5 linked regions of the Mus musculus genome follow. The protein of the gene in region 1 interacts with the protein of each later gene in a pairwise test. Links are inferred from orthologs where the notes say so. Each region holds a gene or a part of one and is shown in the gene's direction. Other genes may lie near its edges.

Region 1 (4,236 bases):
ACATGCCATTTTTCCCATGTTGAAAAGCCTAATAGGTGAAAAGCCTAATAGGGGCTTATCCTCAGCTGACCTAGGCAGGGTGAAAGGCACAGGAGGGTAAGTAGAAGCTGTTAGCAGAGCCCTCCTGTTTTCAAAAACACCCTGTGGTTCAGGTTGACTGCAAGTGTAATGAGTCAGTAGTATGTCTGCCAAGAACTTTCTTCTCTTTTTCATTTTCTTCTCCTTCCTCCTCTTTCTTCCTTGTTCCCCCCCCCCCCCTCACCATTGCTTCCTCTCCCTTTTTTCTTTCTTTCATTATGTTGCTCAGGTTAACTTCAAATTCTGGGCTCACGTAATCCTCTTGCCTTAGTCCTAGCATCTCCAGAAGCTAGGACTCCCGGCAAGCTACCATACTTAGTGTTCACTGAGAACTTTACTGCACAAATGCAAGGCGCTGTTACAAAGTGGAAGCCATAGTCCTCCTTGATTATGATGGTACTACAAAACTTGGCTTAGTCTTGGATGATACCATCTAAAGGAAATCAAAATCAAATCAGCCAAATGCCTGAGAGAAAGACAAAGATCCTCAGAATTAGGACAGAGGAAAAACAATGGGAGGGATCAAATATCCCCAACTCGGGAAGATCTTGGGCAAAGTCCAAGGTCGAAGAACCAGTAGATCAGTTGCTTTTCCGAGGCTCCCAGGACTAGAATTTGGTCTTTGCGATGAATTCCAGAGCTGCCCAGACTAAGGAATGCAGTGTTCTGGACATAGTGGGTGGGCTGTCTTGTAGTGAAGTACGGTAACGGGTGTCAGTGTATTCAACTACTATTTATTGTTTGCTAGGATCCAGAACTAAGCCTGGAGTCTGTATTGTTTCATTCTATCAATAATATCTCGGATAAATCAACTGTGTGTAGTCAGGTTCCTTGGTTGGTTCCCTGGGTAAGTAGTGAAACTAGGATTTGAACTCATTCTGATAAACCCCAAAGCTGGTCCCTATGATTATCATGGAGTTGAGTTCAAGGTCTTCCAGGGAGACCCTCTGGTTCGTTTGTCTAGGAGTAAGCTGCTAGGAGTAAGGGACACACTCTTCCCACCTTAGGGAAAGCCTCTCGCAGAGTAGGCGTGGTCACCTAAGGTAGGGGCGGGGCAGCCAGGAGTGTGCTGAGGGGAGCAGGCAAAAAGCCAAGAGGTGGTTATTCCTAGGAAATGGATAGGTTGTTAACGTGCATCACCCTCGGAGTTTAGCAGCTCTGGGAGTTCTGTGGTGGGAAGTTCCCCGAGCCCTGTGAGGGGCCCTGAGACAGGACCGCCCGCCAGGGAGCATCGCCGCGGCCGGCTTCTGCGGCGGAGCCCGGGTAAGGAACAGAGCGCCGGTCCCTGGCCGGGCGCGAGCTGGGGGCGGTGCCGGGGCGGCGGGGGCGGGGAGGGCGCGCGCCGAGGCGGCTGCGGCAGTTGCGCGCTAGGATTGCTGCCGTGCGGTGCGGCCGGTGAGTGCGGCGGCACCCGCGGCGGGCGGGAGGGGGCTTGGAGCGGGCGGGCGGCGAGCGAGCAGGCTGGGGAGGATGCGCGGCCCAGCGCGCGACCCAGCGGCCCCCGCCGTCCGCCCGGCGTCCCTTTCCTCAGGGCTCCCTACCCCGGCCCAGATCTGCCCGCGCGCCCGCGGCCTCAGCGCCCCGGCGTGGCGCACGCCCCCGGCCCGGGCGCCCCCGGCCCGCCGCAGCCCCTTCCCCGCGCGGCGGCGACGCCCCCGGCCCACGTCATGCTCGCGCCATTGTTTCCCAGCGTCCGCTAGCTGGGACCCCGCCTTTCTCGCGGAGTGGGCGGGCAGGCGCCGCTCTCGGTTCCCCTGGTCTCTCTGGGCTGGCAGCCTGGCCTCAGTTCTCGTGAGGCGGGTGCGGGGCTCCCCTCATGGGCTGCGAGCCTGGCAGGGTTTGGATCTGCCCGCGGAATGGCCCACGAGCCAGTTTTGTGGTGCGCAGTACTTCCTGGAAAGCTCACATCAATTGCAAGTCTCGCCTAAAGACGTTTGGAGGCGGTTTGTCCCTCGCCTTTTTTTTTCTGGGGCCCCCGAAGCCCTGCAGGGCGAGATGCAGAAGTGGGGCCTGTTACAAGAACAGCGTTTTGAGCGGTTGGCTTTGCCTGGCCGCAGCCTTTAAAAGCATTAGATGAAGGTTTGTGTCGGATTTGTTTCACAGCCTCGGTAGTCGAGGGCTGTGCTCTAATAGAGCACTCTGAAATGACTAGTCACTCAACACGGTTGCGTGTTCCCCACCACTTCTCTGCGCCCCCCCCCCCCCCGCACATTGTTTCATAATGACCGTAGACCTATAATTTTTCTTAAGGGATGCAAATTCCTTTGGCCGTCATGTGTAGGGGGAGGATGTTAAAACGGTGCCATTTATCGTAGACGTAGTGAGTACAGAAAGACTTCAGGTCTTTCACATAGTCACCTTAGCATTTTCCATCAATGGCTAAGAATGTAAGAGAAGACATCAGGGCTTAGAGGTTCAGTTTAACAAACCAGCTGGTTAAAAATTGCAATAAAATCGTTGCGGGTGCTCGTAGTGGCAAGGTGGTTATGCTGGGCTGTTGATACAAGGATTGATGCTTCCCGGCTTGCTTCCGAAGAGCATTTCCATTACAATATGAACCTGTTTGTAGGCCTCGAACAGGCTCTGTACCCTAGTGGCCTCGAACTTGGGATCTTTCTCTTCCAGGTCCCTAACAGATATTAATAGGCTTGTTCCACCATGCCTGAGCTTGAAAAACTGGTTTAAGCTTCACTCTTACCAAAAAAATGAACAAAAAGCCAAATTCAGTACTATTGGTTGTTGCATTATTCTCAGCCAGCATTAATCTGTAAAATAAGATGCCCTTCAAGGTTCTGTCGTATGAAACAGTACAGTCATCAGAAGCGTTTGGTAAATATGAGTACTCAGAGTGCCTGCTGGCCTTACTAGATGACATACGTCTTCCTGAAGAGAGCCAGGTTATGGGGGACTCAGCTGTATGAGGAAATTGGTGTCTCAAACATGGTATTTAGAAAAAGTTGATGTTTATGTTACTGCGTTTCACTATGCATCCCAGGTTATCCTAAAAATTCTTCAGTTTTCTGAGTACTGTGCACACATTTCTTGGCCTGTGTCTATAAACTGTAGGTTCTCAGTTTGGTGTGGTGGTTCACTGGAGACGCAGGGTCAGGTGACAAGCCTGGTCTAGGTAGCAAGTTCAGGACAGCCAGAACTACTAGAGACTCTGTCTCAAAACAAAACAACAAACAAAACAAAAACAAAAAATAGTTTTTAAAAAGTGTACAGGATCTCTCTACTGGGGACTGAACTAGGGACTAAGCTTAGGCTAGGCAAAGCAGTCTACTATTGAACTACGTTCAGGCCTTTTTTATTTTGAGGAAGAGCCTTTTTAAGCTGCTCATTTTGGGTTCCTCTTCCAAGGGCCTAGCACCCACCCGCGCACCTTGAATTGGCCGTGTAGCTTAGGCGGGGCTCTAATTTGGGATCGTCCTACCTCAGCTCTCCAAAGCGCTGGGATTGTAGGCATGTGCCACCATGCTTGCCTGGGCTTGAGAAAAAGGGGGTGGGCGGGGGTGCTTTACTGCTTCACTCTTTCCAAAAAGCAAAACAAAAACCAACCTGCTGACATCTTACCAAGAGATTTACTTATGTTTTACTTTTTTGTTTTCTAGCTTTTTTGCGATAAGGTCTCAGACATTTTGTGCTCTGGGCTGGTCCCAGAGACCTGCATAGCTTGGATTGCAAAGTGAGCCACTACGGGTGACCTCAAATGTAGGTTTTTACTTAGTGATGATTGCTGAGTACACACTGCTACTGGACTTGATCTTATTTTCATTTTTGGATGCTTTATACCAGGCCTTTATGCAGGATAGCAGGCAGTGCGGGCACACATGCTTTCAGGAAGTGTTTGTTGATGTGATGTTTTTAGCTTTTGTGACAGCATCTACTAACATGAGATGCTGACTATCACAAGGCATATGCTAAGTGACAAGTGAGTAGTGAAAGCTGTACTTCCAGCCAGGAGACAGCTTACGGACAGTTTAAGGGCAGTAGTACCAGACGAAGCTAGTAACAGATGTTCTGGTAAGCTCTTTACAACATAATGTGACTTGGATTCTTTGGAGCTAGAGCAAAATGAATAAAAGGAACCCCTACCACCCCTTTAAAAATAATATGTGGGAGGGGAGGTGTTTTTTTTTTTTTAGGTTCAAACCTGAG
Region 2 (4,066 bases), on another chromosome or scaffold:
GGAGGGAAAAGGGTAGTCTCTGAGCCATGATGTGACTGAACAGTTAAGAAGACTGTCCCAGGCAGGGAGCATAGCAAGTGCTAAGGCCCCGTAGCAGGAGTTTTCCAAGCATTTGTGTGAGCCAAGTAAGGCACCACATATAGAGAGACTTTTGTGATGGAAAGGCTAACAGGAGTCGAGTATGGAAATATATCTCCTAAATTTCACCTAATTTACTTTCATTCTTTCAAACGTGTAGCAGAAGTTACGGAATGTGATCGCTAATCAAGTCATTTGATACTACCCAGCCGGCACACATCAAGATGTTTATAGGAGAATAAAAGCAGGTTGACACATCCACCTCATTTTTTTTTCTTTCAGTTCATGTTTGAAGACTCCTCCCAAGAACTAAGAGTACGTCTCATAATTGGTTTACTCATAATCACCCGGCGAGGTAGTTACGACTTCCACGCATTTTTGTCATGGTTTAATGCTGCTTTCCAAGGTGTTTCAGGCAGTCCACGGCATTTTACAGCTGGCAGAACATTTTGGAGAAGCGTAAGTCATTTGGCCCTTTCTGGATGCCTTGGAAAAAGCTCTTGTGGACTTCAGTTGGGGTGTCTATGGCTGTGATAAAACAGCATGACCAGAAGCAACTGGAGGAGGCAAGGGCTTATGTGGTTTATGCACAGTCCGCCGCAAAGGGAAGTAAGAACAGGAACTCAAGGCAGTTACCTGGAATCAGGAACTGAAGCAGACGCCATGGAGGAATGCTGCTCGCTGGCTTGCTTCTCATGGGATTTTAACCTTCCACCTAGGGCCCTGCTGGCTTCCTTCTCACAGGCAACAGCTTCTGGGACAGGAGATAAAGAGTAAGCTCCTCCAGCCGGAGCAGCGATGCTTGTAGATCCACGCGAGGCGCTTTCTTATACCCACCAGCACTACCTGCCCAACGCTGGCACAACCCACAGTCATTAATCAAGAAAATGCTGGACAGACTTATTAATAGGGTATTTTATGAGGGGTTTTTTTTTTAAGTCAAAATTCCCTCCTAAATATATCAAGGTTGTGTCAAGTTGACAAAGACCAACCAGGACAGCAGCATCTTTTCTACTCTGACATCTTTCTACCTACATTGGGCAGCGGACCAAAGTTGAGAGACTTAGACTGCTCATTGTCTCAGGCTCTTGTGGAGATTAGAGGATCCTAAGGGCAACAGGACTCCTCTTGCCCCCGCGTAGCTGCCTTTCCAGAGAAGGCCACCAGGGGACTCCGCTCTGAGCCGGTGAGTTGCAGTGGCGCCCGGGCGAGCTGCGCGGCGCGCTGGGTGCATGTGGGGGCCGCACCAGAGCCGTGGTCGCTGCATCTGGAGTCACGCGTGCTGGTCAGAAACCCCTCGCGTGAATCTGCAAGCATCGCTGCTCTGGCTGGAGGAGCTCACTCTTTTTCTCCGGCTCCAGAAACTGCTGCCGGCGTGAAGGAAACCAGCAGGGCCCTAGGCAGAAGGTTAAAACCCCACGGTAAGAGATCCTTCCAAGAGTGGTGTGGAGGCGCAGTCGCAGCTTCCCGCTTCGGATTGTGTCCTGGAGGGCCGAGGTGCGGGGCACACCTAGGGAGGATCAGTCGTGCGGACCCCAGTCCTCACCCCTCCTCCGCGAGCTTCCGGGGTTGGAGTCTGGTTTAGGCAGTACGGGCTTCTTGGCTTTCCTCTGCCTCCGGGTACGCACTTCCCGGGCTGGAATGTGAGTCCAGTTCCCACCCAGGGGGTCTGTGGCTTTGATCTGAAATACACCCCCTCCCTCCCCCTAAAGGGTGCAGATCTCACCCGGGACCCATTCTGAATCTCAGATGCGGGTGGGGTGCGCGTCGGCCTGAAGCGGCGGGAAGAGAAACTTTTACAAAGTGCATCTAAACAGGGCAACGCTCCTGGATCCCAGAGCAGGCTCGGCGTGGGGCTGTGTAGGGAGGGCTACAGCGCAGTCTCGATTTGTCCTCCCTGGCTACCTATGCCTCATCAAGGGAGGTATTAAGAATAAGTAAATTTTGCTCAACTTTTGGACCAACAACTGTCAAACATCTGGGATCGTTGCTCCTCCCTTTTCTGCACCGGAGAAGGTGAAAACTAAACTTTCCCTTCATTTCTCCTCCCCACCACTGGACCCCCAGGATGGGGTTGTTAATGGTAAAGAGCGGTTCCCGCCTCCTGGAGCGTGGCAGAGGCTCTAGACCACTCAGATTTCTTCCAGCCCCCTTTCAGACCCTCTGCAAGTCTTCCCCGCAGAGACGGGGCGACAGAGCCATTCTCCTGTAACCCAGTGAATGGCCTTTTGTTTCTCTGCGGTTCCACTATTGTTGCGCCTCTTAACATCTGGTGGGGCTCCAGCGGGGAAGGAAGTCCCTTTCGCCGCTCGCGGGGCCTTTCACGCTGGCCTTTGCGCAGGCTCGAGTCCGGGATCCCCGCTGGGGAAGGACAGAGTTCGGGACCTGGCTAGGCCGCCCCACCCGGGGCTTGTGGTTAGAGGGCGGAGGGAAAGTTGTTCCTGAGCCCGCCTCCTAGGCTGCTTGTGGCCCAGGGCGCATTTCTCAGATCTTATCCCCAGCGAATCTGAAACGAGAGATTGGAGGCAAAGTTCTCGAAAGCTAGGAGATCTGCGAGAGGGTCCAAAGGACTTTCAGAGGCGAGCTAAACGCATATGGAGGGCCCACAACCCGGGCGATGGCCGGAGACAGGGCACCTCATCTCTACGGAAAGTTCAGGGGTGGCAAAATTTTAAGGGCAGGCAGGCCATTGACCACAAAAGAGTGGAGACTAAAGCTAACCTGGGAAGGCTAAAGACTTTGCCTGGAAATGGTGGTGTCGTGATTCGCTGTGAAATGTTCGTGGGCTTCTGACTTCACCTAAGGCTCCAAGTTTAAGACCCAAATTTTTCGCCGCGATGCAGAAAAAGCAAGCCATGACTACGCAGTCCAAATGGCAGATGCGGCCAGAGCACTGTTTTGGTTTTCATCTGCCCGAGAACAGGTGGCTTGGGGTAGCCCCTATTTCTCCAGAGGGGGGCGCCTGTTGGACTATAGCAGGTCGGGTTTCCTGGAATAAGTTAGGTGCTTGCTTCTAGAGCAGTTAGCCTGTGTGGGTTACTTATTAAACAATCTTGGCAAGAGTAAAGTCACCTTCCAAAGTCCGCAGCGACCGGAACTGTCACCTGAGGGTCGACTAGAGGAGGTTTGATGGTATACACCTGTTGGGACCTGTGCCTCTTGCCAGGTTTGTAAATGTTGCCTTTGCCAATTTTTCCTGTGGAATTGCCAACCTTGGACTGTCTAGGAGATGCGGAAACATCCTTCCCCCACCCACCCACCCCCAGTTCTGAGTTTTGGCACCCTTCCTCTCCCACTCAGGGGAGTAAGAGAGGCTTATATGAGACCTGTGACCTCTGCACCTCTCCACCACTCCACCCTTGCTCGGGATGGGGCCCTAGCGTGTTAAACAAGCACTCTTACATCCCAACCCATCTTCAGATAGTTATAAGTTCTGGGCTCTGCACAGGTCTAGTTTGCCCTTAAACCTTAAAGTACTTTGAGAGACTGTTAACTCAAGAGAGGATCTATAGAGAAACTTTCGCCGTGACTTCTAGATCTTGACGGTGGGGTTCTGAAAAGAAAAACGGCAAATTCTCTGGAGTGCTCAAGACACTCTAATGATAAGGGCCCACAAGTTCGGATTTCTTTGAAATTTAACAGTAGCAGCACAGTAACAAACGACCTGCTGAAGAAATACTGCTTGGGTTTTGTTTGCTCAAGGAGTACAAGAAGGCGTCATTAAAGTTAAAGTCAGGGCTTGGGCCAGCCAAGAAGGAAAACACAATCATTATAGAGGAAAATAAGGGTGTTCAATTTCGTTAATATATATATATTCAATCTTATCCAATCATTTCCGTGGAATACATTGTTTCTGGAGACACAGTAGAGTTGATACATTGTTACGATATTGAAGACTGTGATATTGTCCATAGTAAACACATGCCAGTGTATCAACTCCTCAGCAATGTATAAGAGAAGTTACACTCTACTCACTCTAAGTGTTATC
Region 3 (3,957 bases), on another chromosome or scaffold:
ACGGTGTTCAGATAGTGCATGGCTTCTCCCAAGCTCTCTTGGCTTCTCAACAAGTATGGAAAAGGAGGGCTGTTACAGACCTACTGTACAGATGAGGACATTGAGGCCACCCAGGGCACAGAGCACGTCAGTCAGCAGAGGCTGGATGTCTGGCTTTTAAACTCCAGAGCTTTGTCAGTACCATCAAGCCACTGTCCCCCAAAGGAGGTACACAGAGCCAGCAGTGGGGGAGGAAAGGGAAGTCTGGGATGGGGTGAGGAGCCCAGACTTGGCCTGCTTTGTGGATTCCTCTCAGCTGGCCCTGCCTTCCTGTCCTGAGTGGAGGTTAAAGAAGCTCAGAGGAAGAAAGGTCAGGCTGGGAGAGAAGCAGGAGCTGGCCAAAACAACCCACACCCTGTTCCTCATGACCAGGCCCTGGACGCTGGGTAGGAGGGCACCACCCCTGCCCTCTAAAGATGGAGTCTGTTTCAGAAGCCTGGGAAAAGCATTGGGCACAGGATCGGATGCAGGCTACAGTGCTGACTTCAATCTCCCTTTCATTCATCCCCCCCCCCCTTAGCTTCTTCTCATCCCCAGCCTTGTCCCACCTTGACCACCTGTCCCATCCCTCCTCTGAGGCTTGTCAATCACGTTCCCCATCCCCCACCCCACCCCCAAACCAATCCTTTAGCCTCGGACTCTTAAAATGCCCTGTGTCCATCGACCTAGACAGATCAGAATTTCTAACGCAACGTTATGTGCCTGAGCCATACCACATTCAGAGCATTTTAACGAAGTCAGAAAGTTATTTGGGGCCTATTCGTCGTGAGCACTTCTGTGGTTCGTTTATGATAAAAGCTGGACAGTGGGAGCGAACGGCGGAGTCTGGGCTTCCGTAATGTCATCGGACGAGTGACGCCATCGACCCTGGTCACAGTGGTGTTCATCACCCTACAGGCAGGATGACATCACCGTCGGAACCCGCGCGGACAAGTGCGTGCTGGGTGAATTAGCTAATCGCTAGGGAGAGTGTGAAGTGAGGCTGAAACCCAGGAGAGGAGGGGGCAGAGGGAGGATCCCGGCGCCCCGCCCTCCCGATAACCGCTGCGAGCTGGCCAATCCGGGCAGGCCGCAGTGACGCGCAGCCTATCAGCGACCAGGTCTCTCCCGGAGGTTCCGTGTTAGTCTTGGCCCTCAAGTCAGGGGAGGGGGCGAGGGCGCCGCGGCCCACCGCAGCTCAGGTCCCGGCCGCTTGCCTCCGGGGGTCTGGCAGGTCCCGGCTTGCCACCTCCCCGGAGACTTGATGGCCACGGAGGGCCTGGCAGGGGCGCTTGCCACCGTGCTGGGGGGAAAGGGGTTGCTGGTGCAGAGCTGTGACTCGGAGCCGGCTGGGAAGCCGCTGTTTCCCGTGCGGCTGCGGAAGAATGTCTGCTACGTGGTGCTGGCCGTGTTCCTCAACGAGCAGGTGAGCGTCCGACCGGCCGCTGGCCTTCGGCTGGTCTCGGGAGCGTGCCGCCTGCCCTGATCTGAACAGGCGAGCCAACGGCCGCTGCCTGTATGTGGCGCTTCCCAATGTTGCAAAGCACTCTCAACACTAGCAGCTGAGCTGAGATCGTCCTTCTGTAGACTCTATAATATGGAAGGAGAAGCCGAGGTCCCGGGGCGGTTTATCTCATCCACTAGACCTCGCCCCCCACCAGGAGAGGCCTGTAATATGCCCCCTTCCTTTCCAGGAGTCTAGACTCTCCCGGCGCCTCGGGAGAGTAATGGGGAGCTTACATGCAGGCCTCCGATCCTGTGAGAGTTCTTTTTAGTGATCACTTCTGCACAAGTCAGCGTTATAAAATCCTGGCCAAGAAGGGGTAGGTTGGTATAGGGGTGGAGCTAAGTTTCAAAGCCTCAGACCCTAGATTGAGGACTTGACACAGGCGGTTTGTAAGTCCCATGGGAACAAGAGCAAGACAGTGGCATAAATGAGTCAGTATAGGAGTGGTGGCAACCTTCAGGAGGAAGCCTCCTAGAGCAACGCCCAAGGTCCTCAGCCCCTTTCTACAACAGAAGTCCCTCTGGGTTTGAGTTACAGCAAAGCGGAGACAGCCACTGCTTTCAGCCATATCAGGGCCTGACTCCTGAGGATCCAGCATCCTAAAGGTGTCTGTCTACCAAGAAGGGAGCTTTGGGCTGCCATCCAGGTAGGGGCTACTCTTCTGAAGCCCCCAGACTGGCTGGGTAGGAGTGAAGATTGTCTCACTTCCCTCCCTCCCAGGATGAGGTGTTGATGATACAGGAGGCCAAGAGGGAATGCCGGGGGACATGGTACCTCCCTGCAGGAAGAATGGAACCAGGAGAAACCATCGTGGAGGCCATGCAGCGGGAGGTGAAGGAGGAGGCAGGGCTGCTCTGTGAGCCAGTGACACTGCTGTCCGTGGAGGAGAGGGGCGCCTCCTGGATCCGCTTTGTGTTCCTCGCTCGACCAACAGGTATCCCCCACCTAGTGACATTTCTCACGGTCCCTCATCCATAGCCAGCCATACTGTGGGCTTCTGCTTATGGCCATTGACCTACTACGGGCTAAGAGCTTTTGGGGGTCTCTCTCTCTCTGGAGTGTTGGGGTGGCCATTTACTCTCTCAGGCTCAACCCTTCTCATACTGGCCCTCTTCCCACCCCACCCCCCAAATCTCTCCTAGGCGGAGTTCTCAAGACTTCCAAAGATGCTGATTCTGAGTCCCTCCAGGCCGGCTGGTACCCACGGGTCTCCCTGCCCACACCGCTTAGAGCCCATGATGTTCTGCACCTGGTAGAGCTAGGCGCCAAATTCTGCCAACAAGCCATGCACCCTCTCATTCTGCCTCAAGAGCTCCCCTGCAGTGTGGTCTGCCAACGGCTGGTGACCACCTTCACAACAGTCCAGTCGGTGTGGGTGTTGGTGGGCACGGTGGGGACACCTCACTTGCCCATCACTGCCTGTGGCTTTACCCCTATGGAACAAAGGGGCGGCATCAAGGTGGCCATCTTGAGGCTCCTACAGGAGTGTCTGACTCTGCACAGTTTGGCAGTGGAGACCAAGGGGTTGCTTGGGTTGCAACACCTAGGCAGAGACCATGTGGATGGTGTCTGCCTGAATGTGCTGGTGACCGTGGCTTTTCGGAACCCAGGAATCCAAGACGAGCCCCCAAAGATTCGGGGTGAAAACTACTTTTGGTGGAAGGTATTAGAGGAAGATTTACAAAAACTGCTTCTGTACAGACTCCAGGAATCTTCTGTGATCCCCCTGAGCAGATAGAGAGATTCCAGCAGGGACCAAAAGCTGAGCTGCCCCCTCCCTCTGAGGCAGAGAAAAGGCTGGCAGTCAGGGATCTCATTGCACATTTTGAGGGGGCAGGGACCACACATTGAGCCCAAAGGGAGGGTGTCTTGAATCCACTTTTCAAGGGCTCAGTTCTGAGGGCACACAGTACTTGTCTTTTAAGTTGGTGAGGAACTTTTTGAACCCTAAATGGCACCATCTTTGTCCACTTTGGAAAAGGCTGCATGTCAATCCTTCCAACCCCATAGGAATGTAGAGAGGGATGGGACATGGGGGACGCATCCCTCAGGGCAGAGTCCTCATTGCTGAGTAAAAAGGTATTGCTTAACCTGCCTGCTTGCCTAAATGTCTGTGTGGGGAGGATATGGGGCACTGTCCCACCCACAGTCACCCAGGTCTTTCCTCACCGTGTACACACTGATGCTATGCAGGGATGTAAGGATCCTGAGGCAGACATCGATGCTCGCTGAAGCCTCGACCCACCCAGGCTCTTTTTAGTGTTCCTGTCCTGTCAGGGCGGGCGTGGGACTTTGAAGTGACCACACCCCTAATAAAAGCACAGCTCAGACCTGTCCAGGTGTTGAACGGTTCGGTCTGGTGAAACTGCCTAGGGAACAAGAAAGAGCTGAGGATGACACGTTGGCCTCTGCCAGTCTTTTTCTCTTTGAGC
Region 4 (4,087 bases), on another chromosome or scaffold:
TTGTTAGCAGCCTCAATCATTGTGGTGGCAGCTTAAATCTTGACGACACAACCTGTAGTTTGAACACTGATCCTATTTTATTTTGTTAAGTATTTATTTAATGTATATGAGTACACTATTGCTGTTTTCAAATACACCAGAATAGGGTACCAGTTCCCATTATAGATGATTGTGAGCCACCATGGGGTTGCTGGGAATTTAACTCAATACCTCTGGAAGAGTAGTCAGTGCTCTTAACCACTGAGCCATCTCTCCACCTCACACCCCTTATTTTTACAAAAAAAAAAAAAAAATCTGTTATACGTGTGGGTGACCACGAGTGATGTTATATGTATGATGTTCAGGAGACAACTTGCAGGAGGATATCTCCTTCCATTTTGTGGTCTAGGAATACAATTCCCGTTAAGCTTCGTATTCGAGCCATCTCTCTCTCTCTCTTTTGTTACTCCATGACAGTTTTTCCTGTATTGAATCCCCTCAGAATTTATGCATCAAGTTATGTGGCATTTTGTTTTTCATACGGCACTAAATTTACTAGAATACTAGTCAACTTAGGGCAAGCATGGTAATGACATGGCTGTAATTTTTGCACTTGGGAGGTGGAGGTTGGAGGACCTATTCAAGGTCATTCCCCCACTACCTAGTTAGTTCATGGTCAGCCTAGGACACAAGAGACCCTGTCTCACAAAACTTAAAAAAAAAAAAAAAAAAAAAAAAAAAAAAAGTCTACTTAAGCCAACAACAGTGACTCTTGATTCTCCTATGGATGCAGAGAGTCAACACATGCGCATGGACACCAAAGCCCAGCGCCTGCGCACTGGGCAGTTTTTGCCTTTTGGTTCCCCCCCCCCCCCCCTTTTTGGAGTGTGCGCACCAAGAAAGACAAAGGTGGTGAAAGTGACCAAGCAGTCATTCGGGCGCATGCCCATCCCTAAATTGCCCAGGCTCCATGGGGCTCACTTTGTGGAGGCGGAAGTCCAATCCGATGCAGCGAGCGCGGCCCCCCTCTCCCTTTGATTGGTTTGCTTCCAGTGTTGTGGGGCGGGGAAAGGAAGGGACAGGGACAGTGGAAGGTTGGAGTGGTACAGAGAGCGTTCGCCTCGTTCTGCGCAAGCGCAGAGAGGCGACCAGGAGGGGGCGTGAGAGAGTGCAAGAGAATGTGGAAGCCCTGACGCGCTGGCGAGCGGGAGCTGGGTCGCTAGCCTAGACGCCTGCGCCTTGGCCCTCCGGCTCCGCGCGCGGCGGGCGGGTGCCCTGTGCGCCTGCGCAGTAGGCGGCGGCAGCAGGGGGAGGTGGAGGCCGTGGAGCGGCAGCGGCGGGTCCCGGGACCGAGGCAGCAGCGGGGGCGCCGGCGGGCGGAAGCTGAGGTGACGAAGGCGGCGGCGGCGGCGGCGGCCGTTTCCCTCACGGTGGCGGAGACCAAGGCAGCGGCGGCGGCGGCGGACGGGGAGCGGCCCGGCCCCGGCCCCCTGCTCGTCGGCTGTAGCAGGGCCGCCGTGGGGCCGGCCCGGCTCCCGCCCCCCGCGGCTCCCCCTCCGGCTCCTCCTCCAGGGAGACGCCGGGGACCCGGCCCGGCCCGCACTCAGGGCTCTGTTTCAGCTGCTGCCGGGCCAGTCGGAGGTGGTGGCGGCGCCATGGGCGGCCTGGCCTCTGGGGGGGATGTGGAGCCGGGACTGCCCGTCGAGGTGCGGGGCTCCAACGGGGCCTTCTACAAGGTGAGACGGCGCGTCGACCCGGGCCACCCTCCTTAGCCCCCTCCCCCAGCCGAGGCAGGGAAGAGTGGAGCGGGATCGAGTTTCTGGAGCTTGGTCTTGACCCTTAGAACCTTCGACCCACGTTCCCACTCGAAACCCTCCCGTGGCGATCGTGGGAGTTAACCCTCGTGCTTTTATTTTGAGCTCGCTGTTACACCTGCTTTTATCAGCTGAAAACATGGCCATCAGGTCATTCCTGTGCGGGGATGGGAGCCCCGGGTCCCTTTGGAGAAAGCCCTTTTCCTAGCTTCTAATCGACTTTTCTTGTTTTTTTTTTTTTTTTTTTTTTTTTTTTTTTTTTTTTTTTTTAGTGTAGGCGATACTTCAGCTTTTAATCACATCACCCCTGCAGCCCAAGCACATGGAGGATTCGCATTCTTTTCCTACATGACCCCCTTGGGAAGGTCCACTGTCCCACATTAGGTCTTCAGGGAGCCTTCTGCCTACTGGCTCTAGACCATTTGCTCAACTTTTGGTCTTAAATTCCTGTTCCCAGGCTGACAAGAAATGGTCAAAACCCATCTGTGTTATTTAGCATTAGCATCTTTGGCCTCAGGTTTTTATCAGCCAGCCATAAAGTGGATTTGTTGGACAAGTTTGTCACCCACCACACCTATATTCCAAAATCACCTATGAGGGATGGATTCACGCTTATCTCTTTGACTCTAGATATATTTAGGTCATTCCTCTATCTTCTTGGTAAGTTTAAGCTTCACTGTCTCTCAAAGGCCATCTCAACAAGTTCTTATTCTAACAGATTTCTGCTTGTTGACAATCCTTCTGGAAAGAAAAAAAGTATCTTTCAGAATTGCTTCTTTAATCAGCTTTTTCTTTGCCTAAGATTTGATTCCTGTGAACTTTTTTAAGGGGTGTGGTTGGGACAAGATCCCCTCCCTGGCTGCACTTGAACTCTTCCTCAGCCTAGGATTACAGCTCTGGCGTTACTGGTTGAGCCACCATGCCAGACCAGACTTTTGTTTTTTCCTTCTTTCTATCCACCACCCACCCCATCTTCTGTATCTGTCCTGAGTCTATTCTGGATCCCACGCCCCAGATATTTTCTTCTTCTGATCAGTGGGGTTCTGAACATCTTTTGACTTTTATGAGTGGAATTGTCCCGGACACGTTTGGTCCCTCTCTTACTCTTCATCCTGGAGAGAAAGAGGAATTTCCATAGCATGAGATGGGTGAGAAGAGCCCCTTTTTCTTCAGGTTTCCTCAGGTTGTCTGTCCCCCTACCCTAGTAGAACTTCTACTTTCTTATGCCCTTGGAAATAACTTTCTCTGACTCTACTATGAAATTGTATCTTTTTTGTAGCTGAAAAAAGACTTAGGTTTGCCCTACCCCTGTAGATGGTTCCTACCCTCACTTCAACTGATATGCTAGTTATCCATTATAAAGGCCAGGCCATTTTTTTCCCTTTTCTGATCAAGTTCTTTACCCAGTGCCTATGGGTGCACATACCTATTAGCTTTAATGCAGCTTCTCAACTAAGTCTCGGTCTTTTTAGCTTGGTATTTCTGTATTCCTGTGTATCCTTGATGATGTCTACCTGTCTAGTCTGTGTATAGCTGAAGAAGGCTCCTAGCTGATTCTGTCACTTTCCTAACTCTTGGTACTTTTTCTTCAGACCAGAACAGTGTCTCTAACATTTCTGTTTTCTGTAGCAAAAGTCTTTAATTCTTTTGGCTTCTGAGAGGACACATTAATGTTTTAATATCTATTTCACCCACATTTGTATTACCTTTGTTAAAACAGTCTCCTCAGGCTGGGTATGGTGGTACATACTCTAACCCTAGTACTTAGAAGGCTAAAGTAGGATTGTTGAAGTTCAAAACCAGCATGGGGAATGGAATCCAGTCTAAAACAACCCAAACAAACCCAAAAAGTACTCTTTATTATGCTCTCTTTTCCTCGATATGTTAGTCTTCATCTGTATCCTTCTAACATCAAAATGTTAAAAATTCCAAAAAAGCTGTGTGTAGGTGTGTGTGTGTATATACATACATACACACACACACACCTACACACACACCCACCCCCGTTCGATTTCTGGGTACAGGATTTCTCTATGTAGCCGTGGCTGCCCTGAACTCAAACTCTGTGGGATAGGTCTGCCTTTGTTGAGTGCTGGGATTAAAAGCATCCACAACTACTCTTAGTTTGAAAAGTGGTTCTTAAATTGAGTATGAGATCAAGATAAGATATTTGCATTTGGTTTAAGGAAGCTCAGGAGCCATGCACAGCTGGGACAGATGAGTGCTCAGTTCCAATTAACTGTATGACATGGTTGGGCTGGGACATGAATTCTGTTACACATATGGGTATCCAA
Region 5 (3,500 bases), on another chromosome or scaffold:
TTTAAAAGTTTAAAAGGGTTTTTGCTAGTGAACACTTAGTTTATTTGCAATTTTAAAAAATAGTTGAAGGGCTGAAGAGATGGCTTAGCAGAGAAAAGCACTGGTTGCTCTTCCAGAGGAGCCCAGTTCGGTTCCCAGTACCCACAAGGAGGTAGATAACCATCTGTAACTCTAGGGGATCTGGCACCCTCCTCTGGAGACAGCAGGTACTGCATGCATGTGCTAAAGAGACGTGCAGGCTAAACCCTCTACATTTAAAATACATTAACATTTAAAAGATTAGTTGGTGTTTATATATAGTTGTTACATAACATAAAATCTTTTCAATCCAGTAAGAAATCTGCACAGTTAGGATTTTGGTCGGGGAGAAGAAAGCTTTTATTAGATCTTTAAGCTTACCAGTTTAGATTATAGTATCTTTTTATTGTCTCTATAGATACTTTTAGTGGAAATGTAGATTTTAATATGTATAATTTGTGAAGCAATTAAAAATACAAATATGTAGATCTTTTCCTTGAATATATCTAGCTAAGAACTAAGCAACAACTAGTAAGTTAAAAACTACAGGGCTTGAGATGTCGCTCAAGAGAAGAGTCCCTCCTAGCATGGGTGAGGTCCCAGGTTTATCCCAGCAAATGACAAAAATAAAATAAACTGGAGCCTAAATTTGAAAGCTTAAAATTAATTCTAATTTTTGAATTAGAAGCTGTCCATTTTTTTATGTGACTTGTTTAGATTTTAAGTAACAAACACTCTTACTGATCTGATATCTAACATTGTATTAACAATAGAATGAGATGCTAGTAGAATGGAAGACAGGTGAAGTGTAACATTAATAAAAAAAGTAAAAATATCCTCTTACTTTAATTTTATATCTTTCCATATGTAGGATCATTACTTGGGATATGCTATTTAGTGGAAAGAACATTAATTAGTTTATATATAGATCATGTGTGTGTGCTTTAATCTTTATTTTAGTTTATGAATATAAGCTAAAATATTTTTATAAATTTTAACTGTTTGTATTTTTATTATCTTATAGGAAAGAAGCAGCGGACTTTCATGTAGACCATCACTCAAGACCTTTTTATAAGTAGGTACTCAGCTTGGGGACTAAAATTATTTTCTTTATACTTTTAATAGATAAGACTTTTTATATCCACCACTCAATACTTGAACCTTTAATCAGAAACAAATGGGTGACCTATTTGTTTTAAGAAACATCTCTTTTATATCTCATTGAATTAAAAGACCATGCTTGTAATTATATTTTATGTTGGCAATTTTGTTGTGCTTTTAAGGCCTTTATTTTTATATCTAGTATGGACAAAGCAGTAGTCACAAAACTAAATAAGGATATGTGTTTTGTTTCATTGGCAATGACTAATCATATATGTTAGAAACTGAAATCTATTCTAAGAATTTGGATGTAATTAAAGTGAAATGTGCATACTCACTGTCATGGACAAAGGAATGACAAATTCTAATAAAGACAATGAAATATTAGCCAATCTGCTACAGTAGACATTTTATTTGATATCATACATAGAAGAATAACTTTTAAAAAAGAAATATTTATAACAAAATTATTGTATATCATATCTTGTGAACTACCATATATTATAAAATGTTCCTAAACTTTGTTAGCATTATCATATACATTTGTTTGGCAATTATTCTTTGTTTTAGATTCTTTGTATGCTTTTATAATACTAAATTACAGCTCTTAGTTTAATATTGTCTATATAATTCATATGCAGAAAGTTTCAATGAATAAATTAGCTGGTTCTGTGGCACTGAGACTTAACAAATGACTAGCTAGAGAAACTGGAAGTCAGTCATGATCAGTATCTTCTCAGTAGCCCACCATTCCCTTAGTTGTCACATGCCACATTAGAGAATTCTGTGTTAATTGGATACTAGATTAGATTGTTTGAGGTTGGATCTTATTTTATGGCTTAGATTTTGACATGTGGATAATATTGATAATTAAATTCCTTCCTTCCTCCTTTCCTTCCTTCCTTCCTTCCTTCCTCCCTTCCTCCCTTCCTCCCTTCCTTCTTTCCTTCTTTCCTTCGTTCTCTTTTCTTCTTTTTGTTTGGTTTTGGTTTTGGCTGCTAAAGCCTAGCAGAAGTTTGAGGAGGTCTTGTCCTCTTAGCACTGTGGCTGTAGATACTTCCTTTTACATGCTATTTCTTGGAAATGCTCTACTACGTGAACTGCAGAGATTAGTGAAGGGCTCAGAAGCTTGTATTCCATGCAGCCCTAAGGCAATAGGCATGGGAAGGCCCGTACACTGCCTTCCTTTCTCTGAGAAGGCCCTGTCCTCTCTCTGGTTTGCCTCTCCTTTAGAAGGTAAGAGGCAGGACGTCACTTTATTTCGAGTTAAATTTATCGTTGCATCGCGTGCACATGAAGAAATAGGAAAAGAGAATGAAGCGTCAGCTTTCATTTCCAGGGAACTGGGACTCAGACATAAACTTCAATAAAAGCCGTGCGTCTGGTCCACCCCTTAGATATCATTACCCAGGCAGGTTTCCTCCTAACGAAGGCCTGTTTTTGAAGGCCTGTTGCCATTCTTTTTCTTTATCACACTGACTTAGAGTTGTCACTCTCTGCATTGCAGTAGTTACACACAACAGAATTAACTAAGTCCTTCTTGAGAATGTTACGAAATACCATGCTTGTCACTGCTGTTATAACATTCTCCCTGACTGCTGTGGTAAACTGTTAGGAAACTAAAATGGAATCAGCTTTGTCCTTCTTAGAGTAGTGGGGAATATCAGATCAGCCATGTGCATTTTACGTTGGCATAATCATCCAAATTCAACAAGTGTCTCCTTCCCTTCCAAACAGAAGTGACCTTGTCATATCTTCTGTAATGATTTTGTAGCAAACTCAGTCTCTGTAAGGCACTCCCCTTTTCCCAGAAACGGATCCCAAGCAGGCCAGTCCTCGAGCTTACTGATGTCCTAACATGTCTTCGTAGTCTAGCAGGTGTCTAGATTGTAGTAGAGAAGTAACTCGGGCTTTCCCCTGCTTCCCAGCGAACTGATCCAGTTTATCACAAGTGGGCCTGTTATTGCCATGGAGATCTTAAGAGATGACGCGATCTGTGAGTGGAAAAGGTTGCTTGGACCCGCAAACTCTGGGCTATCACGGACAGATGCCCCCGGAAGCATCCGAGCCCTCTTTGGGACAGATGGCGTGAGAAATGCAGCTCACGGCCCTGATACTTTTGCATCTGCTGCCAGAGTAAGTTGGTTTTGAGAAATATTTTCCTTCTGTTTTATTTGGGAATTTTTTGTGTGTGTCAAAGTAAAACGTTTCTCCTGCTGAGGACTTTGGGAGGTTTTGAACAGCTAATGTAGTAGTGGGAAACACCTGGTGACGGTTTTCTAGGATCAAATAGGGATTCAAAGCCATGCCCCCTTTTAAAATTAGTCCTGTTGGTTGCTGTTGTTGAGTGCAGTTTTCTCAAAATCTGACATTTGTTGCCA

Evidence for each region.
Region 2: the proteins of Nt5c2 (region 1) and Mob3b interact in binary tests that used the Homo sapiens proteins (3 or more experiments, as listed by UniProt). The two-hybrid records come from large-scale screens. The link is inferred for Mus musculus from reciprocal best matches to the Homo sapiens genes NT5C2 and MOB3B.
Region 3: the proteins of Nt5c2 (region 1) and Nudt18 interact in binary tests that used the Homo sapiens proteins (3 or more experiments, as listed by UniProt). The two-hybrid records come from large-scale screens. The link is inferred for Mus musculus from reciprocal best matches to the Homo sapiens genes NT5C2 and NUDT18.
Region 4: the proteins of Nt5c2 (region 1) and Fxr2 interact in binary tests that used the Homo sapiens proteins (3 or more experiments, as listed by UniProt). The two-hybrid records come from large-scale screens. The link is inferred for Mus musculus from reciprocal best matches to the Homo sapiens genes NT5C2 and FXR2.
Region 5: the proteins of Nt5c2 (region 1) and Nme7 interact in binary tests that used the Homo sapiens proteins (3 or more experiments, as listed by UniProt). The two-hybrid records come from large-scale screens. The link is inferred for Mus musculus from reciprocal best matches to the Homo sapiens genes NT5C2 and NME7.

What each region holds. Positions count from the first base shown.
Region 1 is NC_000085.6:46,959,509-46,963,744, reverse strand, and holds the start of Nt5c2 (cytosolic purine 5'-nucleotidase), read left to right. Parts: upstream 1-1,436; 5' UTR 1,437-1,473; intron 1,474-1,802; exon of another isoform or gene 1,803-2,157; intron 2,158-4,236. UniProt on the Homo sapiens protein: Broad specificity cytosolic 5'-nucleotidase that catalyzes the dephosphorylation of 6-hydroxypurine nucleoside 5'-monophosphates.
Region 2 is NC_000070.6:35,154,685-35,158,750, reverse strand, and holds the start of Mob3b (MOB kinase activator 3B), read left to right. Parts: upstream 1-1,266; 5' UTR 1,267-1,499; intron 1,500-2,591; exon of another isoform or gene 2,592-3,244; intron 3,245-4,066. UniProt on the Homo sapiens protein: Modulates LATS1 expression in the Hippo signaling pathway which plays a pivotal role in organ size control and tumor suppression by restricting proliferation and promoting apoptosis.
Region 3 is NC_000080.6:70,576,667-70,580,623, forward strand, and holds the start of Nudt18 (8-oxo-dGDP phosphatase NUDT18), read left to right. Parts: upstream 1-1,157; 5' UTR 1,158-1,282; coding exon 1,283-1,444; exon of another isoform or gene 1,445-1,841; intron 1,842-2,245; coding exon 2,246-2,459; intron 2,460-2,667; coding exon 2,668-3,263; 3' UTR 3,264-3,957. UniProt on the Homo sapiens protein: Mediates the hydrolysis of oxidized nucleoside diphosphate derivatives. Hydrolyzes 8-oxo-7,8-dihydroguanine (8-oxo-Gua)-containing deoxyribo- and ribonucleoside diphosphates to the monophosphates. Hydrolyzes 8-oxo-dGDP and 8-oxo-GDP with the same efficiencies.
Region 4 is NC_000077.6:69,631,684-69,635,770, forward strand, and holds the start of Fxr2 (fragile X mental retardation syndrome-related protein 2), read left to right. Parts: upstream 1-1,287; 5' UTR 1,288-1,634; coding exon 1,635-1,715; intron 1,716-3,716; exon of another isoform or gene 3,717-3,836; intron 3,837-4,087. UniProt on the Homo sapiens protein: mRNA-binding protein that acts as a regulator of mRNAs translation and/or stability, and which is required for adult hippocampal neurogenesis. Specifically binds to AU-rich elements (AREs) in the 3'-UTR of target mRNAs.
Region 5 is NC_000067.6:164,342,172-164,345,671, forward strand, and holds part of Nme7 (nucleoside diphosphate kinase 7), read left to right. Parts: intron 1-1,042; coding exon 1,043-1,093; intron 1,094-3,047; coding exon 3,048-3,255; intron 3,256-3,500. UniProt on the Homo sapiens protein: Possesses an intrinsic kinase activity. Displays 3'-5' exonuclease activity with a preference for single-stranded DNA. Does not seem to have nucleoside diphosphate kinase activity.